Macaca mulatta: one gene and its partners. The protein of the gene in region 1 interacts with the protein of each later gene in a pairwise test. Links are inferred from orthologs where the notes say so. Each region holds a gene or a part of one and is shown in the gene's direction. Other genes may lie near its edges.

The links. The genes of interacting proteins can lie anywhere in the genome.
Region 2: the proteins of CCHCR1 (region 1) and WASHC3 interact in binary tests that used the Homo sapiens proteins (3 or more experiments, as listed by UniProt). The link is inferred for Macaca mulatta from reciprocal best matches to the Homo sapiens genes CCHCR1 and WASHC3.
Region 3: the proteins of CCHCR1 (region 1) and NUTM1 interact in binary tests that used the Homo sapiens proteins (3 or more experiments, as listed by UniProt). The link is inferred for Macaca mulatta from reciprocal best matches to the Homo sapiens genes CCHCR1 and NUTM1.
Region 4: the proteins of CCHCR1 (region 1) and STX11 interact in binary tests that used the Homo sapiens proteins (3 or more experiments, as listed by UniProt). The link is inferred for Macaca mulatta from reciprocal best matches to the Homo sapiens genes CCHCR1 and STX11.

The regions. Positions count from the first base shown.
Region 1 is NC_133409.1:151,906,585-151,910,685, forward strand, and holds the start of CCHCR1 (coiled-coil alpha-helical rod protein 1), read left to right. Parts: upstream 1-1,246; 5' UTR 1,247-1,786; coding exon 1,787-2,002; exon of another isoform or gene 2,003-2,029; intron 2,030-2,238; exon of another isoform or gene 2,239-2,304; coding exon 2,305-2,371; intron 2,372-2,449; coding exon 2,450-2,663; intron 2,664-3,373; exon of another isoform or gene 3,374-3,403; intron 3,404-4,101. UniProt on the Homo sapiens protein: May be a regulator of keratinocyte proliferation or differentiation.
Region 2 is NC_133416.1:109,366,385-109,370,689, reverse strand, and holds the start of WASHC3 (WASH complex subunit 3), read left to right. Parts: upstream 1-1,498; 5' UTR 1,499-1,518; coding exon of another isoform or gene 1,519-1,569; 5' UTR 1,570-1,610; coding exon 1,611-1,754; intron 1,755-2,120; coding exon 2,121-2,219; intron 2,220-4,305. UniProt on the Homo sapiens protein: Acts as a component of the WASH core complex that functions as a nucleation-promoting factor (NPF) at the surface of endosomes, where it recruits and activates the Arp2/3 complex to induce actin polymerization, playing a key role in the fission of tubules that serve as transport intermediates during endosome sorting.
Region 3 is NC_133412.1:11,536,114-11,540,358, forward strand, and holds the start of NUTM1 (NUT family member 1), read left to right. Parts: upstream 1-1,438; 5' UTR 1,439-1,971; coding exon 1,972-2,053; intron 2,054-4,245. Other genes in the region: NOP10 (H/ACA ribonucleoprotein complex subunit 3), read right to left, coding at 324-464, 1,374-1,427. UniProt on the Homo sapiens protein: Plays a role in the regulation of proliferation. Regulates TERT expression by modulating SP1 binding to TERT promoter binding sites.
Region 4 is NC_133409.1:49,410,911-49,415,176, forward strand, and holds the start of STX11 (syntaxin-11), read left to right. Parts: upstream 1-1,459; 5' UTR 1,460-1,554; intron 1,555-1,979; exon of another isoform or gene 1,980-2,286; intron 2,287-4,266. UniProt on the Homo sapiens protein: SNARE that acts to regulate protein transport between late endosomes and the trans-Golgi network.

The DNA.
Region 1 (4,101 bases):
CAGTACGAACACATCACCTCTGTGTAATTCGGAGAAGAGCAGCTTCTTCCTGTCAAACCTGCTTATCCTAATAGAGCACTCCCGCTTGCCTGCGCCCCGATCTTCTGGCCAATCCCTCACTCATAACTAGTTTGAACCTCCGAGGGCAATGAATCTACTGTCATCCCCCAAAAGGAAGTGCAAACGAGTTCTTAAGTACTCCAACAAATTGGACCTAAACCCCTACTTCCCGGCTTCTCTAGGTGGGATAAAAACAGGAAGGGGTAGGCCGGGCGCGGTGGCTCAAGCCTGTAATCCCAGCACTTTGGGAGGCCGAGACGGGCGGATCACGAGGTCAGGAGATCGAGACCATCCTGGCTAACACGGTGAAACCCCGTCTCTACTAAAAAATACAAAAAACTAGCCGGGCGAGGTGGCGGGCGCCTGTAGTCCCAACTACTCGGGAGGCTGAGGCAGGAGAATGGCGTGAACCCGGGAGGCGGAGCTTGCAGTGAGCTGAGATCCGGCCACTGCACTCCAGCCTGGGCGGCAGAGCGAGACTCCGTCTCAAAAAAAAAAAAAAAAAAAAAAAAAAAAAAAAAAAAACAGGAAGGGGCTCCCCGCGATCATGCAAGGCATACCCGGCCTTTTCCCTCTCGGCCCCAGCCCCGTTTCGGATCTACCAGCGGGGTGCAGTCTCCGAGTAGCCTCCTCTTCAAGCAGTGCCAGCCTGTGCCGCGGGTCCCGGGACCCCCTGGGCTCCTCGGCTGGAGCCGATACTGCTGCAGCTGTTTGACAGCCAGGAAGCCGGGGCCAGGAGGGGCGCGGCCTCGGCGCGCGGGCAGCGCCTACCCCTCCTTCGGAATTCCCGGGCCCGAACTTCGCGCCGAGCGAGCCCGCCCCCGTGCCGTTTCTGATTGGCCAGCTCATTTGCTCTCTTCCGCGCCATTGGACGGCTCCCTAAGATCTCCCGCCTTCCGCTTTTTCTGATTAGTTCACAAGTTTTCCCGGGTTCCCGCAGTGGGGAGGAGCCGCCTGGGCGCGGAGATGCGTCGACACATTCTGTGGGCCCAGATTTAGACGCCACTGCGCCTGCGTACACCTTTCCTCCTCCCTACAGTGAGGTAGGACCTTAGGGCGCCCGCCTTGCGCAGGCGCGGTCAGAGGCCGAGGCAGAGGCGGGGCCCGGAGCGAGGCGTAGGGGGTGTGGTCAAGGCGCAGTAGGGGTTCTCGCGGTGGGTAAGGGACGTTCGGGAAGAGTCGGTTGTGGGCGGGAAGGGGCTGAGCGGGGGTGCTGGGAGGGTTCAAGGGGTCCAAAGGGGAAGGGGGAACAGGGGCCAGGTGAAGGGGTAGATGAGGAGATCAGAACAGCCTTAGAGCTCAGGGGCCAACTGGGTGAACAGCCTTGGGTATCTAGGGGAGCAGTGGGGGGAGAGCAGAGCCGGCTAGCGTACAGGGGGCGAGAGCAGACTATTGAGAGATGGGGGTGAGGGTGAGGACCAGAACAATTCCTTCAGAAAAAAGTAGATTAGGATGTAAAAAGGGACCGGAGTAGGGATCCCAGATTCGGGTAAAAAATAGATTAATGAGGGTGGGAGGGTGGGGGGAAGGTCTTAAAGTGCCCACTATGTGTTAGGACTCGAGAAAGAGGAGGCGGGCGGCAGGCATGGAAGCTGAGGGGATAGTAGAGAGAAGCTGAGAGGACAGCCGCAGGAAAGATTTGGATGAGATGTCAGGACGCTGGCTTTTCTGCCTGGGGATCTAGGCTGCTTGGATTCCCAAGGTCTTGGGAAGGGTCTAGCCCTGCATGTGGCCACATTCAGCTGGGGCCAGGCCTTGGGCCAGCACTTTAATAGGGAAGGACCCAAGAGTCATGGCCTGGTGGTGTCTGGATGGGATTCCCCCAGGCCTTGCTGAGCCATGGAGAGAACTCTGGAGATGGCGCTCAAGACCCCTGCACTGTGTACCTCCTTTCTCACCTCTGGCCAGGGGCAGCAGGGACCATAGAAACTTAAGGAGGAGGGTAAAGGCACTGCCCAGAATCCTGAAAGTATGAGTAAAGCCTCAGAGCCCCTCTCGGTCTGTCTTTTTCAGTAAATTCTCTCCACTTGATAGTTAGTTGCCTGGGTTCCCTGAGGAACCAGGTTGAGACAAGCAAGTGAATTTGGGGTATCTCCTACTTCTTTGGGGAAGTAGGAAAAGAGCTGAGCATCGGGTGGACCTGGCTGTAATTCAAGGATTATGACTTTGTTATTGTAGGGGCTTTCTCTTTGGAAGGTGGCCTGAAAATTGAATTGGAGTGTCTTTGTTTCTCCTATTGTCCAGGGGAACATAGATGGCTGGAGACAGAATCTAGAGCCTTCAAATAATGTGGAGATGTTTCCACCTTCAGGTCAGTGGGACCAGACAAGGGGAGTGGTGGTTGTCTCTGCCTGGGAAACTGACCATCTTTGATTTTGTAATTCTTCAGGTTCCACTGGGCTGATTCCTCCCTCCCATTTTCAAGCTCGGCCCCTTTCAACTCTGCCGAGAATGGCTCCCACCTGGCTCTCAGACATTCCCCTGGTCCAACCCCCAGGCCATCAAGATGTCTCAGAGAGGCGACTAGACACCCAGAGACCTCAAGTGACCATGTGGAAACAGGATGTTTCCAGTGACAGGCAGGAGCCAGGGCGGAGAGGCAGGTAGGGATCCATCCTCGCTGTTTTCTCAGGCTGGCTTGCTAGTGACCCTTCTTCACTGGAATAAACTCCTTACCCTATTTCGGCCCTAGTTTCCAGAACCTACTCATTTTTATGCAAGCAATTATTAGTTCCTGCAGTGCTTAGATAATAAAGCAGTGTGCTAGGTGCTAGGGATGAGGATAACAATAATGAATAAGACAAATCCTGACTTAAATTTGTAATTAATAAGGAATCTAAAATCTTAAGAGGGGAGATAGATTGACCATCAACTGATGGTAAAGCATAGTATGAGGCAAGATGAAGAAGTGCAAACTAGAAGTAGAGACCCAGCACTGTGGCAGTGTGGGTTCATTCTGATGGAAGAAAGCCTTTACAGAGGACATGCTATGGGAGCTGGCCATGCTGTCGTATTGTCTGTAAACATTCTTATTCTTGTTGTTTCATGTGTCTTCCCAGATGTACTGGGATAGCATTCTGCCATTTTGCTCTAGAGTAGGATTACATTAGAAGCAGCAGCACAATGAAGAAGAAGGAGCACTAGACTGGGTGTCAGGAGACAGAGACTCTATTTCTAGTTTGGCTACCAGCTAGAGGACATTTGGCAAGTCAATTTCCCTAGCCTACAGATCCCTGATACTTAAAGAAAGAAAGAAAATAAAGAAAAGGCCAGGTATGGTGGCTCACACCTATACTCCTAGCACTTTGGGAGCTGAGGCAGGAGAATCACTTGAGCCCAGGAGTTCAAGACCAGCCCGGGCAACAAAGCGAGACTTCGTCTCCACAGAAAATAATTAGCTAGCTGTGGTGACATGCATTTGTAGTCCCAGCTACTCGGGAGGCTAAGGTGGTAGGATCACTTGAGCTCAGGAGTTGAAGGCTGCAGTGACCTATGATCCAGCCACTGCATTGAGGCCTGGGTGACACAGTGATACCCTGTCTCTAAAAACAACAACAACAATCTCCTGTGGTCCTGGGTGTCAGAGAGACAGCTGCCTCAGGAGCCACGTTCCAAGCTAGATTAAACTTCACATGATATTGGTAGACAATGTCTCCAAAGGCTGGCACTATGTTATTTATGTACTGTTCTCTCAGACTCCTCATAAAGTATACCTAACACTCAATAAATGCATTTTAACTAGCACCTGGCCTCACCATATTGATACTGGAAGCTCAGCTCTCTCTATGCCCATTCCTCCCTCAAACTTCTTGCCCTTAAATCAGAATTGAGAAGTCTCTGTTCTTCCAACCTTTCCACTTAAAATGTGTGGCCTAAAAATAAAAAATAAATAAGACAAAAAAACACCAAAAAACAAAAAGAATGTGTGGCCTAATGATATACACATTTGATGTTGAATCTGTCTGTATGTAGCTCTCTCTAGGGAGATCATGTTCCATCATCTCAGCCAGACTTTAGGTCCTGTGAGTCCAGGCACTGGAC
Region 2 (4,305 bases), on another chromosome or scaffold:
TCTGGAGGCAGGGCACCTAAGGCCAATTCACGCTGACTTCCTAGAACTAAATCAAAAGGTAAACCCCAAATTTCCACACCTAAGTAACAAAAGGAGCAGCGGCTACTCCCTTTGCAAATCCCCACCTTTTCTGACAGGCAGATGGAAATTGAAGGTACCTCAACCAATCAGACTGATTGCGGACCAAATCTTCCTTTGCATAGAAGTGCAACTTAGTAACATCACTTTAGCCTCTGATTGGTTGCTTTCCACAACCAATCAGATGTTTGTATAGGAGTGTGACCTTTGTAACTTTACTTCAGCCTCTGATTGGTTGCTTTCCACAACCAATCATACTGATTGTGGCCACCACTTCATTTGCATGAGGAGAACACCAGTGGCCAATGGGAAATCTCTAGCGGGTATTTGGACCTAAGAAGATTCTGTATCCAGTACACTGTGGAGAGTACTTTGGTTTTCAATAAATCTTTGCTTTTCTTGGTTCATTCTTTCCTTGCTTTGTGCATTTTGTCCAATTCTTTGTTCAAAACGTCAAGAACCTGGACACCCTCCACCGGTAGCACTCTTACCTCATTTCCTACCATTCTCCATGTATGGGATTACTTGCTTCAACCAAACCAACAGGGCCAGGTGCCAGCGGCTCACACCTATAATCCCAGTGCTTAGGGAGGCCAAGGCATGAAGATCATTTGAGCCAAGGGGTTTGAGACTACGGTGAGCTATAATCCTCACCGCACACCAGACTGGGTGACACAGCAAGACCCCCATTTTAAAGCTGCCAACTTGGTCTTCATCTTTTCCATGCTCCCTGTAAATGGCAGTCACTTCCGTAGGTTTGTGCCTCACCTCTAGTAGTTGACGTTTTATTTCACGTTTTAAAAACCTTTGGAAGGCCAGGCGGGTTGGCTCACGACTGTAATCCCAGCACTCTGGGAGGCTGAGGCAGGAGAATCGCTTGAGGTCAGGAGTTCGAGACCAGCCTGGGAACTGGTGTGTATATACACACACACCCTTTGGAAGTAGGTCTTATTTCTCATTCTTCAGAGCATAAACCTCCCCAATGCAGCAATCAAACTCAATCTTTGTTTTCACAGTAAAAGCCTAGCAGAGTATATATGACACTTAGGATTAAAAAAAAAAAAAAATTGTTGCTCAAGGAATGACGGAGCCGTTATATAACAGACAGGACTAAGTAGGGGTAACCTCAAAGGGACGCAACTTCTGGCTTTGTTTTGTTTTGTTTGCCTCCTAAGATTTTACTGCTATAACTGCATCCTTGCACCATCGCGAAATTGACGTCACAATCTGGACTAAAACTACCAATCCCAGAATGCCGAGCGAGGAGGCGGGCTCTCCGGAAGTCGCCGAGTGATTAGTGAGCGGAGGCATTTTCTTCCGGCGGGAAGGGCCCCGGAGGCGGGGACTTGGGGGGAAAGTTGAGACGCGATTACCGGGTTGGTCGGGCCCCATCTGGGAGGGGTTTGTGGGTGAACTCGGGGTCTCCCGCCCGCAGAGGAGATGGATGAGGACGGGCTTCCTCTCATGGGGTCAGGCATAGACCTGACCAAGGTTTGTAAAAGACGATACTAAACTCCTCCACCGGGAGGAGGATGGGGAAGACGCAGCTTCCCGGGGAGACCACACCTTCCGGGTCCCCACTCTGTCACGGCCCCGGGCCCTTCTGCCGGCCTCAGGAGGGAGAGCTCCGCAGTCCACCTTCAAATGGGGTCCCTCTTGAACTGATTAAGGAGACGGTGTGCATCTCCCAACTTTCGCTTCCCATCTTTCGTGTCTCTGTGCCGCCGGCGATAGACGCCGGTTGTGATAGCTAGCCCTACCTCTTTTTCAGCCCCCAAGTTTTTGTGTGTGTTTATGTGTGTTGCTTCTGCCTGCCAAAATTCGTCCCAGTGAGTCTAGAGCCTGTTCTCAAACTTTTATGCACCTCTGTTGTCTTCGGACACCCCACCTACAGTTTAGGAAAACAAGTTAATGACTATTCCCAGTCCTTCAAGAAATTCGTATCACACAGCAAAGTGCCTCGTGATTATTTCCAAATATGAAAAGGTTTGCACTGTGTACGTTCCTCCTGTATGAACCATGTTTGTTTTTACGTAACACAGGTGCCAGCTATTCAACAGAAAAGAACGGTGGCTTTTCTAAACCAATTTGTGGTGCACACTGTACAGTTCCTCAACCGCTTTTCTACAGTTTGTGAGGAGGTAGGTCCTGTGATACTGGTTTATAGAGTCGCCTAGAAGTCACCTTGCACTGCTGAGATTGACAAATGGAGTAAAACAAGAATTACAGTCTTTATTCATGTATCATGACCTCTTGTCACCCAATTGTGTTAACACACCTTAAGTTCTCTTTTACTCTGTTACAATCAATCTTGCAACCCTCCTCTACTGAATTAGTGTTCTAGAGGTCCTTGTGAGATAGTTCAGTCAGGCTTACTGCGATTAAAGAGAACAATAGGAAATCTAAAATTTCTTTTTTTTCTTTTTTTTTTTTTAGACAGAGTCTAACTCTATCACCCAAGCTAGAGCGCAGTGGCGCGATCTCGGCTCACTGCAACCTCCGCCTCCCGGGTTCAAGCGATTCTCCTGTCTCAGCCTCCTGAGTGGCTGGGATTACAGGCATGCGCCACCATGTCTGGCTAATTTTTTGTGTTTAGTAGAGACGGGGGTTTCACCATGTTGGTCAGGCTGGTCTCGAACTCCTGACCTCAGGCGATCTACCAGCCTCAGCCTCCCAAAGTGCTGGGATTACAGGCCCGAGGCACCGTGCCCAACTTCTAAAATTAGTTGAAAATAGTTTTTATTTTGCTATTTGTTATTCGTTCTCGTACCCCAAAATAGTTTTTATTTTGCTATTTGTTATTCGTTCTCGTACCCCAAAACCACATTGTTTATATTAAATTTATTTTACATTCCGAATCTAAAAGATGGCTAGAGGAGATAGGCTGGAAACATAACTTTGGCATCAAATATGATTATAGAAATAAAAATATTTTCTGCAAATGACTTGTAAGGATTAAGTATCCAACTAGGGACCAGGTGCCAGAGCTGGCACAGTAGTGTGCACCTGTAATCCCAGCTACTCGGGAGGCAGAGACAGGAGGATCACTTGTGCCCAGGAGTTTGAGACGAGCCTGGACAACATAGAGAAACTCAGTGTTTTGTTTTTGTTTTAAAAAAGGGGATAGGTACAAGATCCAGGATCCAGGGACTCCCTGTCTTTTAAAAAGCCAAAAAAGAAGATGGGGAGGACAATGGGAACCATGGGCTGAAATTGCATTTAAGGAAAGAAAAGTAAATTATGGGGCTTAGATAATTCACAAGTAAGTCTGTTGAACATTCTGCCTTATGTAAGGTATAGCCTTAGCAATTAGAGTTTGTAGAGGATTTTTGCTTCTATGTTCATTGGAGATATTGACCTTTGGTTTTCTTTTCTTGTAGTGTATTTGTTTGGCTTTGGAATCAGGATAATGCTGGTCTCCTAAATTGAGTTTGAAAATTTTCCCTCCTCTTCAGTATTTTGGAAGAATTTGAGAAGGATTTGTATTAGTTCTTCTTTAAATGTTTGGTAGAATTCAGTAGTGAAGCCATCAGGTCCGGGGGGTTTTGTTTAGTGGGAGACTTAACTACTGATTTGATCTCTTATTATCGGTCTGTTCAGATTACCTATTTCTTTATGATTTAGTCTTGATAGGTTGTATGTGTCTAGGAACTTATCCATTCTAGGTTATCCAATCTGTTGGCATATAATTGGTCATAGCAGTCTCTTATGAGCCTTCATATTTCTTTTGTTTTAATTGTAAAGTCATGTTTATTTAAGTATGAGCTTATATTCACTAAAATTTACCGTTAAGTATGAGATTTGACAAATTCATAATCATAACATAATCAAGATGTAGAATAGTTGTAGAACAAGGTGTAGAATCACTCCAAAAATTACCTCATGTTCCTTTGCAGTCACCCCTTTTTTATCCCTAGGAATCTATTATTCTGTTTTCTGTCAAAAGGGTCAAATTTAATCACTACAGTGATCTCTGGTACTGTGGAAAAATTCCTGAGCACACAGAACACACAAACCAAATTTTTTAAAAATGAGATACTTACAAAATTTCTTTAGCATACCAACCAAATGAAGGTAGCTTCATATTTTAGTACAGATGCTCAGATATCTTAGGCAGAATTAAGTCCACCATTGCTGTATATATGCCTCAACAGTAATATTTAAGAGTAGACTGTAAAAATAAACTTATAATCTTTAGAATCATCAAAACAATGGGATTATTAAATA
Region 3 (4,245 bases), on another chromosome or scaffold:
GTGCTCTCGTCCATCATCTCCCTCCCTTTAAAACAATACTACCAATCCTTTCCTCCAACAACACAAAATAAGAGCTTTTCAAATCATTTTATCTTTAATAATCTGGTAGTAACTTAAAATACGAAAAAAAAAGTCAAACGTGTTCCCTTTATGGGTGATGCCACCATGACTGCCTCACACAAGCATGCTCAATCACCAGGATGAGACTGGATGCCACAGAGTATGGCTGGCAAAAAGGCATCAGGGCTCACAGACTGAGGAGTTTGGTTACGGAGTCTCCGAGGGGTAACAGGCCGCAGAATAGACATCAGTTTAAGGGGCCTTCAGAGGACAGGGCGCGGTTGCTGGGTCATGAGCACCTTGAAGCGTTTCTTGATGGTGATTCGGTGTCGAGAGTATTTGTCATCTGGGGAGAACCGAGCAGGATGGGCTGAGCAGGTCTGTTGTCCCATCGGGTCAAATTTCTGCTCCGGGAATAGAGAATGTATGTCAGTACAGGAGTGATGGGGTGGGGACAGCGCGAAAAAGGGCAAACATGAAAACAGAAGATGCAATGATCAGCTCAAAAAGTTGTACAAATAAATAGAGAAATACAAAACTTAAAAAGGCTGGGCGCGGTGGCTCACGCCTGTAATCCCAGCACTTTGGGAGGCCGAGGCAGGAGGATGGCTTGAGGTCAGAAGTTTGAGACCAGCCTGGGCAATATGGCGAAACCTCGTCTCTACAACAAACAAACAAAACCAACCAACCAAACAAAAAAACCCTAAACCAAAAATTAGCCAGGTGTGGTGGCGCACGCCTGTAGTCCCAGCTACTCGGGAGGCTGAGGCAGGAAGATTGTTTGTGCCCAGGAGGCGGAGGTTGCAGTGAGCCGAGGCACTACAGCCTAGGCAACAAAGCGAGTCCCTGTCTTAAAAAAAAAAAGAAAAAAAAAGAAAAAAAAGAAAAGTGAGTGCAATGGCGCTATCCGGGTTTACTGCAAGCTCCGCCTCCCGGGTTTAAGCGATTCTCCTGTCTCAGCCTCCCAGGTAGCTGGGAAAACAGGCGCACGCCGCCACGCCCGGCTAATTTTTGTATTTTAGTAGAAACGTAGTTTCACCGTGTTGCCCAGAATAGTCTCTAACTCCTGAGCTAAGGTAATCCACACGCCTCGGCCTCCCAAAGTGCTAGGATTACAGGCGTGAGCCACTGCGCCCGGCCAATTTTGTTTTTTTAAAATAAAAAATTCGTCGCGCGCTCCCGGTTCTCCCCCACCTCGGTTCTGCACTTTCTGGTTCCCTCCACCCAGCTAGGTAACTCCGTGTATGGCCTCACCCATTCCTCCCATCTACATTTCTCGCCATGCCTATTTACAACCTATTTTCTCTCCTCACCTTCAGCGTATAGACCCGATCTCCCTCCTCGTTGAGGTAATACTGGAGAAACATGACTGCTCGTAAGCCAGAGGTCCCAATTCGCTCCGCTGCTCCGTCTGCAGGGGTCCGCCCGACCGCGTCACGTGTTCGTCAATTTCCTTCCTGCATAGCCGGAAGTCTCTCTCCTGGCACGCCGGAAAATGTAGTCAATTTTTGCCTTATTTTCAGCTAGCCAGAAGGGGGCGCACGAGGGCAGGGCTTGGCTTGGGGGGCCACACTTGCAACTTTGCAGGCTAAAACACGTGGAGTGTGCCTACTGTGTGCTAGGTACACGGCGCTAGAGGGGGGTAGGGATGGATGTGGATAGAACATTGACGTATAGAAGCTTGTCTTTATCTCAAGATACACACCCCTTTCAGGAGCAGTGAGTTTCCAGTGCCTGAAGAAACAAGGGCTCCAGGATTCAGAGCCCCTTTGCCCTAGGGAAGAAGGAAGAGGTTTTCTTCCCTCCCCTCTTTTACATCCAGTTTCCCTGCTCCATTTCAAAGCGTTGGCGGTAAAGAATGCATGTTGAGTATCAATATTCCGTAAAGCGAAAATAGCGTAAAGTTATTTTATGAAACGAAGTATGTTTCAGCGGTCGAACCAAGATTTAAACTTAGGTCCCTACCGCAAATTCAGCGCTCTTTCTTATAGTGGTGAGTAGCTAATAATAGCGTAATAAAGTGCACCTTCTAGGAGATTTTACAATTTTTTAAAGAATATAGAAGTTCTCCTTATTCGTTTAAAGAAATGAAAATGAGAACCAAAATATAATTACAAAGATCATCATTACGCCTTATTTATAATGACAAAAGCGTTGGCATATATGTTGTGTAACCAGAAAAACCTGCAAGGTTTTTTTTTTTTTAGAATATGGTTTGGCCGGGCGCGTTGGCTCACGCCTGTAATCTCAACACTTTTGGAGGCTGAGGCGGGCGGATCACAAGGTCAAGAGTTCGAGACCAGCCTGGCCAATCTGGCGAAACCCCGTCTCTACTAAAAATACAGAAAAAATTAGCTGAGTGTGGTGGTGGGCGCCTGTAGTCCCAGCCACTTCAGAGGCTGAGGCAGGAGAGTCATTTGAGCCGGGGAGGCAGAGGTTGCAGCGAGCTGAGATAGCGCCACTGCACACCAGCCTGGGTGACAGAGTGGCACTCCGTCTGAAAAAAAGAATATGGTTTGTGACCGGGTGCAGTAGCTCAGGCCTGTAATCCCAGCACTTTGAGAGGCCGAGACAGGTGGATCACAAGGTCAGGAGTTCAAGACCAGCCTGGCCAATATGGTGAAACCCCGTCTTTACTAATAAAAATACAAAAATTAGCGGGACGTGCTGGCGGTCACCTGTAGTCCCAGCTACTCGGGAGGCTGAGGCAGGAGAATCGCTTGAACCCGGGAGGCGGAGGTTGCAGTGAGCTGAGATCACGCCACTGGTCTCCAGCTTGGGTGACAGAGCAAGAGACCCTGTCCCAAAAAAAAAAAAAAGATATGGTTTGTATTTACTTGTAGTTGAATAAAAAATCTCTGCAAGTATTCACAAGAAACAGATGATACTGGTTTCCTCTGAGATAGAGAACCTAGTTACAGGAGAAAGGGGTAAGGGGTGGGAGGCAGACTTATTGCTATGTATTTTATTTTGTAGTTTGATTTTTGAACCTTGCTGATGTATTACCTGTTAAAAATTTTTTAAAGGCCGGGCGCGGTGGCTCATACCTCTAATCCCAGCACTTTGGGAGGCTGAGGTGGGTGGATCATGAGGTCAGGAGATCGAGACCATCCTGGCTAACACAGTGAAATCCCGTCTCTACTAAAAATAGAAAAATTAGCCGGGTGTGGTGGCGGGCGCCTGTAGTCCCAGCTACTCAGGAGGCTGAGGCAGGAGAATGGTGTGAACCCGGGAGGCAGAGCTTGCAGTGAGCAGAGATCATGCCACTGCACTCCAACCTGGGCGACAAAGCAAGACTCTGTCTCAAAAAAAAAAAAAAAAAAGTATGTCTAAGTAGTTAATTTTGTTAGAAAGGAAAAGGATGATTTCAGCCTTCAGGTCTTATTAATGAAAGAGTCTTTAGAAAAGAGAAAAGATATCTCAGAGAAAGCAAGAAAGACGCCATGAACCCCAGGGAAGGTCTTTTGGGGGAAATCCACGTTTGGATGAAGCTGTGGCTGTAGAGGATGGTCTGGGAATTACTGGCCTGAAATAGTCACCAGGAACCTTAGCAGATACATTTTATTTTTAAAATTTAAACCAAAATAATTTAACAAAACGAAGGACTTTCTACTCTTGAGGTTTTAAACTGCATGGCAGCTTTTTTATTTAGTGAGGCTTTTCAGCAAAGGGTAAGGCTTCTGTGGAGTACAGAGCCTATGCTAGTAGATTGGACAGCTTTCCAAGGAAATGATGTGCACACAGCAATCGAGCACCTTGGATCATCTGACAATTCTAATTTTAGACTTTAGTTCCCTTGATCCTTAAGTATACAGACCAATGTGGTCTGAATTTAGTTCAGAAAATATAGCCATCATTGGATTAAGTCAGGGGTCTACCATCGACCTGCTGTTAATAGGAAGTCAGTTACAGAACTGGCTGGGATGGAAGGACACAAAATGAGATATGTTGGTGAAGAATTGAAGTATAGGGAACCAAACTCAAAACAGTAATGTGTTGGGAATCTGAGAAAGAATTTACAAATAGCCCTAAAGGGCGAACATCAGTTGTGTTGCCAAACTGTAGTTTGAAGGGAATTCCTGGTTTTTGCGTAGTTACTAGAACCCTTCATGGAATATCTCTCCCCACCCTCACCCCACTTTTCCCTCTCCCCTCCCCCACAGCAGACTGCCTTGAGTTCCATAT
Region 4 (4,266 bases), about 100 Mb from region 1:
TTCCCCTTTCCACATTGTACTATTTTGGAGGAAGTCACTGTGCACAGCCTAGGGTAGATGATCTACATAAATTATTTGGAATTATTCTGTATAGGAGATTTGTCTCCTCTCTGCCATTTATTCATTTATTTATTTATTTATATCAGTGTAGACTCATGGATATTTTTTACTTTGGTTTGTAATCCAGTACTACTTTGTTCAGTTTACTTCGTTGCTCAGTGGTTCCATCTTTGGCAACTGGGAGCTCTTTCAGGTGGTTCCTGTGTTTAAACATTCTCCCATCAAGACAGGATTCGTTTATTTTTATTTTTTATTTTTTTTCTTCTCATTCAATTGAGGCAGCGTCTCATTCTGTCGCCCAGGCTGGAGTGCAGTGGCGCGATCTCGGCTCACTGCATCCTTGGCCTCCCGGCCTCAAGTGATCCTCCCACCTTAGCCTCCCGCGTAGCTGGGCTCACAGCGCGTGCCACCACGCCCAGTTAATTTTTTTTTATTTTTTGTAGAGATAGGCTTTCACCATATTGCTCTGGCTGGTCTCAAATTTCTGGGCTCAAGAGATCCGCCCCCTTCGGCCTCCCAAAGTGTTAGGATTACGGGCATGAGCTACCGCGCCCGGCCCGATTTTTCCTTTCTTGAGTATCACTTCCTTACTTTTCAGCCTCAGCCTTGTTTTTCAAGGTGCTTTACCATCACCTGACACAATCCACACTTTATGTTTATCTCTCCCCGTTAAAGTGCCGGGACCTGGAGGGAGGGTCTTGGCAGTGTTTTTGAGCGCGGTGTTATCCTGGGAATACAAGGGGCCGCTCAGTTGATATCCAGGGAATGATGAGCCTGGCGGGTGTTGAGGCCGACTGGAGATGGGTTGGCCGGCCGGGTTCTGGGAAGGCTGTGCTCGGCCTCTGTGTGACCGCAGGCTCCTCGCCCGCCTCCTCGAGGGTCCCGCGGATGCAGGACCTGCTGCAGCCTCCGCAGCCACACCCACGCTCAGAGACCGCTTCCAGCGTCCTTGCCGCAGAAACGCACCGGACTGCAAATGTCACCGGCGCAGCGGGGATTCCCGGGGAAAGTCCATCGCACTCCCTGACCTGGGGACCAGAGGATGAGCGGAGGAAGTGTCTTGGGCGGCTAACATCCCACTCCCTGCGCCGGTCTGCGCCGCCCCCGGGAACGCCCCGGGGCTCGCGGGAGGGGCTGGAGCGAGTCCCCGGCTCCGGGCGGTCCCGAGCGCACGGACTCCGGGTGGGGCGGGAACCCGTGCTCTGTGAGCCGGCTGCTGCCGCGCCCCGGCGCTGTCATCCCGGGGCGGGGCCTGGTCCCCAGCTGTGGTAGCTTCCTAAGCGGCGGGGGCTGAGCCGGCGGCGCCCAGATGCGGCCGCGGCGGCGCGGAGCTCGGGCGGCTGTGGAGGAGCCCAGCCTCGGCCGCAGGAGGCGCCGGGAGCAGAGCCGCCGGGAGTCGCGCAACAGGTTTCCTTCCCCATCGCGGCGCCCACAGGGGACGCGCGCCCTGCGGGGAGAGAGGCTTCTCAGTTCGCGCTCTCGTTCCGGGTCCAGGTTTGTTTTTCTCTCCCTGAGCCCCCATTTCTCTTTCTGACCCCCCATTTCTCTTCCTGACCCCCCATTTCTCTTCCTGACTATTCCCCGTGCGCTGAGAGATCCGGGAGGCGGGCGGGGGCACTGTCTGGGCTCGGGACCCGCGGCTGCGCCTTAGTTGGGATTTTGGATCTGGCGCAGGTCCTCACGCCGCCTCTGGGCACCTTCGGAAACACAGGATTGGGTTCCTCATATAAAGCGGAATGATTTTTTAAAATTACTTTTAATTTCAGAGGCTGAGGGATTTAGGATTTAGTGCTTCACAGGAATTATTTTAGGGATACCTGTCGGTAGGCTGCCTTTTTAAAGTGTCCACCTAAGACTATTTTATTTTAAATCGAAAGACTGAAGTGTTTTTGTGTTATCACCTCTTCACTTCCTATTAGGGTGACTGTGTCAAAAACACCAGAATGGGTACTTCTTGACTTGAACTTGGCAGTGTCACTCAGTAGCCAAGAAAGACGGAGAAATTGATAGAGCCTTGGAGCAGTCCCTTCGCAGCCCACGTAAGACTTTGTTTTAGAAAAATGGAGAGAAGTAGTGGCAATGCCTGCGAGAACCACGCCGTCCTGAGAGGGAATTCTGCCTTTTTCTAGACTCCGCTGACACCAGCTGAGATCTGTATTACTTCCTGTGGTTCTCACGCGCTTGTTTCAGCCGTTTCTCAGCAAAGGGAGGAGCTGTTATTTACAGGTATCCAAAAATGAGTCACAGGGCTGCTCTCTTAATTGTGAGACTTTGTTAATGAACTTTTGAAAAGCGAGGCTTGCTCTGTCTGTATTTAAAATGAGACTGTAGATGTGAAATGCCTGCCCTGCTGACCTGGGGCAGTGGTATGGGAAGTGACGATTGAGTTTTCAGTTTCCTAAGGCGCCTGATGTTACAACATGCCAGTAAAGGTCACTGGGTTGATTTAAGATAACCACTAAAATCATGTGCTTTGCCTCAGAAGCCCAGGAGAAAATTAATTTCATTATTCAATGACCATTTTGCTACCATTTTCACTGAATAGTAGAAATGTATCATTTAATGTGGTGATTGTAACTCTCTAAAATCAAAATATTTCAGACAGTGTGTGTTTACTAAATTGATGCCAAAACCACATGGTGCTTTTTGAAGCGGGTGGGTCCCAGCGGGAGCAGAGAAATTTAAAAGTTGAAGCTGACAGGCCCCACTGTGGTGGGTAGCAGCACCTAGGAAGGGACTGCACACTATCTCAACACGGTAGAGAAGGGAGCACCATCTCTACTGGAGCTGAGTTGAGCTGAATTCAGTCCCAAACAACAGTTAACAGGTACTTTCTCTGTGCCAGCCTCTTCCCTGAACCTTGCTTGTACAACCATGAATAATAGGATCCTGCTGACAAGGTGCTAGGGTAAATCTATACCCAGAGTGAAGTTTCTGTCCCAATATAACTCAATCTGCTGGGTTCCAGTGTATTTAAAGAGTAAACTCAGCAGATTACCATCCCTAGATCATTGCAGTCACCTTTAGTTAGCAGCGTGACTTTTAGGAAATGGTATGACTAATTAATAGGTTGTTTTGTTTTGTTTTTTGAGACAGAGTCTTACTCTCTTGCCCCACACGGGAGTGTAGTGGTGCAATCTTGGCTCACTGCAACCTCCTCCTCCTGCGTTCAAGCAATTCTCGTGTTTCAGCCTTCCAAGTAGCTGGGACTACAGGCACCCACAACACCCAGCTGACTTTTGTATTTGTAGTAGGGACAAGTTTGGCCCTGTTGACCAGGCTGGTCTCGAACTACTGACCTCAGGTGATCTGCTTGCCTTGGCCTCCCAAAGTGCTGGTATTGCAGATGTGAGCCACCATGCCCTGCCTAATACTTTATAAATTTGTAACACTATATTGAAGCAAGTTTTTGATCATTGTTTTTGTAGTTCAAATCAATGTTTTTTAGCACATTATAGCCTTGTGAGCCAAAATGAATAAATCTACCATATCACAGTTTACTGTTACAATTGAAATCTGCTGAGACACTTTTGAACTTGATGCCCAAGTATCAAGGTTTCCAAGTTTCCACAGTTTGCTAAGATATCCAACTAATAAAGGCAACACTGCTAAATTTCAGACAACTTTACCTTAATTTCCAAACTTTATTCCTCCTTTGAAAGCCCTGAAGTTACTTTTTCTATGACAAAGGGTTGAGTGTGTCATTCAGCATTGTACTCCCTGAACTTGTCCCAGGCTCGACTCATGAGAAGTGTTGGAAAGTGTCATTCAGCATTGTACTCCCTGAACTTGTCCCAGGCTCGACTCATGAGAAGTGTTGGAAAGTGTTTATTGATGAAATAATGAACCTTCATGTAGGAGGATGAATTGGCAGGCAAGTGGAAGGCTCAGTGACCCAGCAGAAGGAACAGCACCCATAGAGAAGTGAAACAGCACTGGACATTCAGGAAACTCCAGCCTGTTTAGTGACAGCACAGAGCGAGGGCTGGGGAGACAGGAAGGGCCAGATCACAAAGGCCCCATGAGGGTTTATAGTACTGAGCCCTTTGAACAAGTGAATGATATTGTCAGGTGTGTGTTTAAAAAATTATAACAAAAATTGGAATTTAAAAAATCTTAGATTAGATGACAGTGGCATTGACTTTAGGGAGACACCTTGGAAACTGTTGTCATATTGCAGATGGGACATTAAAGAAGGCCTGAATC